Lonchura striata: one gene and its partner. The protein of the gene in region 1 binds, or shares a complex with, the protein of each later gene. Links are inferred from orthologs where the notes say so. Each region holds a gene or a part of one and is shown in the gene's direction. Other genes may lie near its edges.

What was found.
Region 2: THOC3 (region 1) and SARNP share a complex: the UniProt entries of both Homo sapiens proteins name them as parts of the transcription/export (TREX) complex. The link is inferred for Lonchura striata from reciprocal best matches to the Homo sapiens genes THOC3 and SARNP.

What each region holds. Positions count from the first base shown.
Region 1 is NC_134617.1:3,495,153-3,499,056, forward strand, and holds the start of THOC3 (THO complex subunit 3), read left to right. Parts: upstream 1-1,527; 5' UTR 1,528-1,540; coding exon 1,541-1,723; intron 1,724-2,061; coding exon 2,062-2,218; intron 2,219-2,964; coding exon 2,965-3,169; intron 3,170-3,504; coding exon 3,505-3,666; intron 3,667-3,755; coding exon 3,756-3,856; intron 3,857-3,904. Other genes in the region: SIMC1 (SUMO-interacting motif-containing protein 1), read right to left, coding at 1,314-1,415. UniProt on the Homo sapiens protein: Component of the THO subcomplex of the TREX complex which is thought to couple mRNA transcription, processing and nuclear export, and which specifically associates with spliced mRNA and not with unspliced pre-mRNA.
Region 2 is NC_134629.1:9,290,114-9,294,017, reverse strand, and holds the start of SARNP (SAP domain-containing ribonucleoprotein), read left to right. Parts: upstream 1-1,129; 5' UTR 1,130-1,158; coding exon 1,159-1,194; intron 1,195-3,904. UniProt on the Homo sapiens protein: Binds both single-stranded and double-stranded DNA with higher affinity for the single-stranded form. Specifically binds to scaffold/matrix attachment region DNA. Also binds single-stranded RNA. Enhances RNA unwinding activity of DDX39A.

The sequences.
Region 1 (3,904 bases):
GCAGCGTCAATGTCCTGTCCTGCCAGGAGCCTCTGCTATGGTGGCACTGTAGTCCCAGAGAGAAAAGAGCACCAGCCTAGAAAAACAGGGGCAAAGACCCTTCTGCCTGTCCAAGGGGGCCTGTGGCCCTGAGCTCTGGGCTCAGCCTCCCCTGGCAGCACAGCTGAGCCTGAGACCAACCCAGGCTCTTCTTCCCCACTCCCTTCAGGGCTCATGTCCTTGTGCCTTGACTCAGAGCAGACCTAGCTGCCTGCTCAGCTCCTTCCCACGACAGGGAAATGCCAGTCCTAATGCCATGTCCAGGGAGGGCAATGGAAGCACAAGGAGCTCTCCTGTACCCAGGCAGGAACAGCATGCAATCCAAACCCTGCCACCTTTTCTGTGGCACATTCCCTGCTCTGGAGAACAGGTGTGGCAAGAAACAAAGCTGCCTTTACATCTGTGGCACCAGTCAGAGCTACAGCAGCCCTGAGACTTTGGGGATTCCCATCCAGGCCTCGCTGGGCGATGCATGGTCCAAGGGACAGCAGGAACAGGCAAAGGGAGGCAGCTGTGCCTGCACCAGCAACAGGCCACACACTGCACTTCCCAAACTTTTGGCAGGCCCAGGAGGAGTCAGAGCCTGTCTGCTCTTGGGGGAAAAAAATCCCCCTCAGCACCTCAAAGCAGGAACACGTTTAGCAGAGAATTCAAATCCACTTCCCTCCCCCCCGACTTAAACCTGCTGCCTTCCCCAAGGAGAGGGCAAAGCCCAGCGGGCTCCGGCACGCAAGAGGAGCTGTGGGAGAGGGAGGTGCAGGGCTCCAGCCGGCTCAGGACCCGGGACAGCGGTGCGGGGCTAGGGACCGGCCGTTTTCCCGTCCGAGCCCGAGCCTCGTGCCCGGAACCGCCGCCGCACGACCCCACCGGCCCCGCACCCGGCAGAGGAACGGCATGGGGGACAGCGGCGGCAACCGCCCCACCGCGTCCCGCGGCCGGACCCCGCCGGGGGCTGAGCCCTGCAGGCCTGCATCCTTCTCGGGGTGCAGCGAGAGCACCGCGGCACCGAATGGCAGGCACCGGGCCCTTGGGGAGCGCGCTTGTGCAGCGGGGCTCTGCTGACAGCAGCTGCCCGCGGGGACCCGAGCCCGGCCAGGAAAGAGGGTGGGAGGTCCTGAGGACGCGGCGGGGACGGGACGGGACCGGGACCTCTCGCCCACCCCTCCGCTGCCCCGAGGCTGCTGCCCCGCGCGCCTCCGCCCCCGCCCGCCGCGGCGGCGCCGCCATCTTGCGCGGAACAGCGGCGCCGGTGCCGGCGGGAGGCACGGACTCACCGCGGCGGCGGGCAGCGAGGGGCGGCAGCGGCAGGGCTGAAGCGGCGGCGAGCGGGCCCCCTCCGAGTCCGAATCGCTGAGGAGGACCACATTGTTCTCCATCCCGGCGGCGGGCGGCGGCTCCGCTCTGCCGGCGGGGCCGCGGGAGCGGCGGAAGCGGCGGGAGCGGCGGGAGCGGCGGAAGTGGCGTCAGGCGGGGCGGCGGTGCCGGCGGCGGCGGCCCCGCCATGGCGCTGTCGCCCTACGTGCAGGCCATGCAGGAGCTGTTCCGCGCCAACACGCGGAGCCGCGAGTTCCCGGCGCACGGCGCCAAGGTGCACTCGGTGGCCTGGAGCTGCTGCGGCCGCCGCCTCGCCTCCGGCTCCTTCGACAAGACCGCCAGCGTCTTCCTGCTGGAGAAGGACCGGCTGGTGAGACCCGCCGGGCGGGGCGGTGCGGATCGGTACCGGGAGCCCCTGGGCACCCCGCGTGCGGCTGCTTGGGCGGGGTCCGGAAGCGGGAGGATGCCCCGGTGGTCGGTACCGGGCCTGGGGGTGGGTACTCGGTGTGCACCGGAGCAGGGGCATCGCCAAGGACAGCGCAGGCCGGGTGTGCGAGCCCGGAACGGAGCCGGTGCCCCGCGGCGTTCTCCGTCCTGCCGGCCGGGGCGCGGCTCCTGGTCTATCCCAGCGCGCTGCATCCCCGCTGGATGCAGGAGTGGGAGCAGAGCCAGGCACACACCCTCGCGTCATCCGCCCTCTCCCGCCAGGTGAAGGAGAACAACTACCGGGGCCACGGGGACAGCGTGGATCAGCTCTGCTGGCACCCCAGCAACCCTGACCTGTTTGTCACAGCGTCAGGGGACAAAACCATCCGCATCTGGGATGTCCGCACCACCAAGTGCATCGCCACTGTCAACACCAAAGGTGAGTCCCTGCCCTCCCGGGGCGCCTTCCCAGCTGGGTCCCGGCAGGATCTCAGCTGTGAGGGACCCGTCTGCAGTGGCACAGAGCTTTGAACCTTTCCTGTAGTTATTTCTGGTTGGGACATCTTTGCTAACTGCTTTATATTTGTGTTACGCTCATCATGTGAGAGCTGATTTACCGTGGGGTCAGGACTGTTAGAACTGCTGAAATATCGTGCTAGCTGTTAAAATGTCCTTTGTACTTGTCTCTGGAACGAGTGGACTGTGAGGCTGGAGACTGGGGAAAAGTATGTTTACAGAGAGTCATGCTGGAAATAAAAAATTGTGTGGATTCAGAAAAACTATTTGAATTCATGTGATGCTTTACCCAAATACCATCTCTGCTCTTGGAAATGTCCAGTTTGAGTTGTTTGGGCTGGGAATGATATCGTAAGGTTGTGTAATAGCAACCTGCCATGTTCTTTTGTATATTCAAAGGTATTTATTTTTGGCCTCTTCTTTTTCTGGATCTCAGAGATTACTGGATTCAGAGGATCATCGGTGTAACCTTGTGTAGTGGTTGCTGTGGTCCCATCTTGGCTGAAATGGGATGTGGCATATCATTTTCAAGTTGTACTTCTCACAAGTTTGGTTTTGCTGGATAGCTGCTGTGCAGGGTTTGTGTGTTACACTGAACAACTGGTAGTCTTTCCCATTTGGGAATGGTTTGGAGTGGTAGTGGGACGTGCTGCCTTTTTGTCCTTTCAGGTGAGAACATCAACATCTGCTGGAGCCCTGATGGACAGACTATTGCTGTGGGGAACAAGGATGATGTGGTCACCTTTATTGATGCCAAGACACATCGCTCCAAAGCTGAGGAACAGTTCAAGTTTGAGGTGAACGAGATTTCCTGGAACAACGATAACAACATGTTCTTCCTCACCAATGGCAATGGCTGCATCAACATCCTCAGGCAGGTGCCCGTGGCTGCTGGTGGACCGGGTGGCTGGGCTGGCTGCAGTCATTTGCAAGTGCCTTTGCTGCTTTTGGGAAACCTGAGCCCCACGTCCCAGCAATCCCCTGCCCTCTGGTGGGAATGAGCTTGCCTGGAGCTGAGGTTGCCACAGCTGTGGGCTAGGCTCAGCTCCCTGAAATGGTCCCTGAGGCTTTGCCTCATTCACTGGACACTCAGTGTCTCCTGCCTCGGCAGGGTTTGCTTCCAGTCCTGGTGTGCCTCATGCCTGCCCTGCTCTAGGGAATCCCTGTGCTTCTCTCACTGCTCCCTACCCTCTCCCTTCACCTCCACAGCTACCCAGAGCTGAAACCCATCCAGTCCATCAACGCCCATCCTTCCAACTGCATCTGCATCAAGTTCGATCCCATGGGGAAGTACTTTGCCACAGGCAGTGCTGATGCATTGGTCAGCCTCTGGGATGTGGACGAGCTAGTGTGTGTGAGGTGCTTCTCCAGGTAGGTAGAGCTGTCCCAAAATTGATTTCCCCTCTCTCTGGGGACTGTGGTGGCAGTGCCTCACCGTCTGCTCCCCTCGTTTGCTGCAGGCTCGACTGGCCCGTGCGGACGTTGAGCTTTAGCCACGATGGGAAGATGCTGGCCTCAGCATCAGAAGATCACTTCATTGACATTGCCGAGGTGGAGACAGGTAATGGTTTTATTTTGGGGAACTGCAAGGAGGGAATTGGATAGAGAA
Region 2 (3,904 bases), on another chromosome or scaffold:
TGCCATGTTGGTGGGTTCTATGAGGGTGCAGAGCGCGGCGCCATCTTGAGTGTGGGCAAGGCGGCGCTTCAGGCGCCGGTACCGGGATTGCGGCGGGGCCGGAGCGACCGGGAACGACCCGTGGGGGGAGGGTGTGTCCGGTTAGTGCGGGAGATGCGGTTTGGAGCGACGGGGAAGCGGCCGCTGCCGTCATGGAGGTTGCCCGCAACCATCATGGCGGGCACGACATCCATCATGGCGGCCGCCACGCCCAAAAGAGAAGCTCATTTGAATAATTTGAATTAATTGAATTATTTGAGTTATTTTAATGATAACAAGAGGGGGTTGTGGCTCAGGAGCTGCGGGAAGCGGAGGCTGTGCTGGAGATTGGAAGTGTTTTTAATGAGAAATAGAAAGATATGCAGTAGTACTAAATAAAGTTATTAATAAATTAAGTGATAATAATTTATTAATAAGGGAATAAAGCAGCAGCCCTTGGGAGCAGCGACTGGAGAAGGGAAAGGAGTGGGAAACGCAGGAATGTTTTGGAAAATGGCCCCAAATTTGTGCTCTGCACCGCTGGGTGAAGCACAAATGAATGAATTATAATGAATGAATTTATAACAAAGATTTAATGCAAAGCATTTAATGCACATAAACGGTAACTAAATAACGCAAATATATGCAAATTTTCGGTAATAATTAAACAACAATGAAATTAAATCATAACAAAGGCTATATTTTAATAGATAAAAGTACTGCAAAGAACATAGCAACACTCTAAGCAATAAACACAAAATAACCAGAGGTAGTAAATAATAAATATCTAATGTTATCCAGGAAGGTTAATAGTTTAATGAAGGGAGATAATTTTTAATAATTAATTATACCCCAGTCCCTCAATGACCCCGCTCCGCTCCTGGCCCCACCTCCCGGAAGTCCGCGTTTCCCGCCCTCTCTTCCCATTGGCTGTCTCTCAGCACATCCCTATTTCCATTGGTTGATCCGCACGTCAGTCAACATATCCCCGCCTCTATTCCCCGATAAGCCAATCACCGGCGGGCGCTGCCGGCAGCGCTGACCAATGGCGAGCGGCGGATTTGGGCGGGGCAGCGGGGGACGCGCGGCGCTGATTGGTGGGAGCGGCGGGAGGGGCGGGGCGGGCGCGGGGGTGCCAAGATGGCGGCGGAGCCGGTGGAGCTGCACAAGCTGAAGGTGCCGCTGGGAGAGGGAACGGAGCCGGGAAAACCGCGGGGAGAGAACGGGGACAGAACCCGGCAACCGCCACAGCCCGCGGGGGCAGCGCGGGGACTGCGGCTGGGACGGAGGGAGCGCGCGGGGGAACGGCGGGAAAAGGGCCGGAAACTCGGAGGGGTCCTGAGGGAGCTCTGGGGGGCTCTGAGGGTCTTGAGGGGGCTCTGAGGGAGTTCTGATGGAGTTCTGAGGGTCTGAGGGGCTCTGAGAGTCTGAGGGGGTTCTGAAGGAGCTCTGGGGGGCTCTGAGGGTCTGAGGGGCTCTGAGAGTCTGAGGGGGTTCTGAAGGAGCTCTGGGGGGCTCTGAGGGTCTTGAGGGAGCTCTGAGGGGCTCTGAGGGAGTTCTGAGGGGTTCTAATGGAGTTCTGAGGGGCTCTGAGAGTCTGAGGGGTTCTGAGGGTCTGAGGGGTTCTGAGGGAGCTCTGAGGGGTTCTGAGGGAGTTCTGATGGAGTTCTGAGGGGTTCTGAGGGACTCTGAGGGTCTGAGGGCTCTGAGGGAGTTTTGAGGGTCTGAGGGGTTCTGATGGAGTTTTGATGGAGTTCTGAGGGGGCTCTGAGGGGTTCTGAGGGAGTTCTGAGGGAGCTATGAGGGTCTGAGGCGGCTCTGAGGGGTCTGAGGGGTTCTGATGGAGTTCTGAGGGGCTCTGAGAGTCTGAAGGGCTCTGAGGGGGGTCTGAGGGAGCTATGAGGGTCTGAGTGGGTTCTGAGTGGTTCTGAGAGGTTCTGAGGGGGGTCTGAGGGGTTCTGATGAAGTTCTGATGGAGTTCTGAGGGAGTTCTGAGGGGGCTCTGAGGGAGCTTTGAGGGGTCTGAGGGGGTTCTGAGGGGCTCTGATGGAGTTCTGAGGGGGTTCTGAGGGGGTTCTGAGGGAGTTCTGAGGGGTCTGAGTGGGTTCTGAGTGGTTCTGAGAGGTTCTGAGGGGTTCTGATGGAGTTCTGAGGGGTTTTGAGGGTCTGAGTGGCTCCGAGGAGGCTCTGAGGGGGTTCTGAGGGTCTGAGGGGCTCTGAGGGGGTTCTGAGGGGGTTCTGAGGGTCTGAGGGGCTCTGAGGGGGTTCTGAGGGGGTTCTGGGGCTCTGAGGAGGCTCTGAGGGGGTTCTGAGGGTCTGAGGGGCTCTGGGGCTCTGAGGAGGCTCTGAGGGGACTCGGAGTGTCTGAGGGGCTCTGGGGGGTCTCGAGGGGGCTCTGAGGGAAGCGGGAATGGAACCGGGACCGAGGGGAGCGGGGCAGGGCTCCGGGGGAACCGGGAATGGGGGAGAACTGGGAATGGGGGAAAACCGGGAATGGGAGAGAACTGGGAATGGGAGAACTGGGAATGGGAGAACCGGGAATGGGAGAGAACTGGGAATGGGAGAACTGGGAATGGGAGAGAACTGGGAATGGGAGAGAACCGGGACTGGGGGAACCGGGACTGGGAGAGAACTGGGAATGGGGGAACCGGGAATGGGAGAGAACCGGGAATGGGGGAGAACCGGGAATGGGGGAGAACTGGGAATGGGGGAACCGGGAATGGGAGAGAACCGGGAATGGGAGAGAACCGGGAATGGGGGAGAACTGGGAATGGGAGAGAACTGGGAATGGGAGAACCGGGACTGGGGGAACCGGGAATGGGAGAACTGGGAATGGGGGAGAACCGGGACTGGGAGAGAACTGGGAATGGGGGAACCGGGAATGGGAGAACCGGGAATGGGAGAGAACCAGGAATGGGAGAGAACCGGGAATGGGAGAGAACCGGGACTGGGGGAGAACCGGGAATGGGGGAACCGGGAATGGGAGAGAACCGGGACTCAACCCCGATTCCCTCTCATTCTCATTCCCAGGTTTTTCTCGCTCATTCCTGAATTCCTTCTCATTCCCATCCTGTTTTTCTCTCTCATTCCTGGGTTTTCTCCACTCATTCCCAAATTCCTCTCTCATTCCCATTCCCGGATTCCCTCTCATTCCCAAATTCTTCTCTCATTCCCATTTCCGGATTCCCTCTCGTTCCTGAATTCCTTTCCCATTCCCATTCCTGGATTCTGTCACAGTCCAGGTTTTTCCCGCTCATTCCTGAATTCCCTCTCATTCCCACTCCTGATTTTCCCTCTCATTCCTGGGTTTTCCCCGCTCATTCCCAAATTCCTCTCTCATTCCCATTCCCGAATTCCCTCTCATTCCTGATTTTCCCTCTCATTCCTGGGTTTTCCCCGCTCATTCCCAAATTCCTCTCTCATTCCCATTCCCGAATTCCCTCTCATTCCTGGATTTCCCTCCCATTCCCAAATCCCCTCTCATTCCCGAATTCCTCTCTCATTCCCATGCCTGGGTTTTCCCCTCTCATTCCCAGGTTTTTCCCATTCCCGGTTTCCCCCCTCATTCCGGGTTTCCCCCCTCATTCCCGGTTTTCCCCCCTCATTCCGGGTTTTCCCCCCTCATTCCCGGTTTCCCCCCTCATTCCCGGTTTCCCCCCTCATTTCCGGTTTCCCCCCTCATTCCCAGGTTTTTCCCATTCCCAGTTTCCCCCCTCATTTCCGGTTTCCCCCCTCATTCCCGGTTTCCCCCCTCATTCCCGGTTTCCCCCCTCATTCCAGTTTTCCCCCTCATTCCGGGTTTCCCCCCTCATTCCCGGTTTCCCCCCTCATTCCGGGTTTTCCCCCCTCATTCCAGTTTTCCCCCTCATTCCGGGTTTCCCCCCTC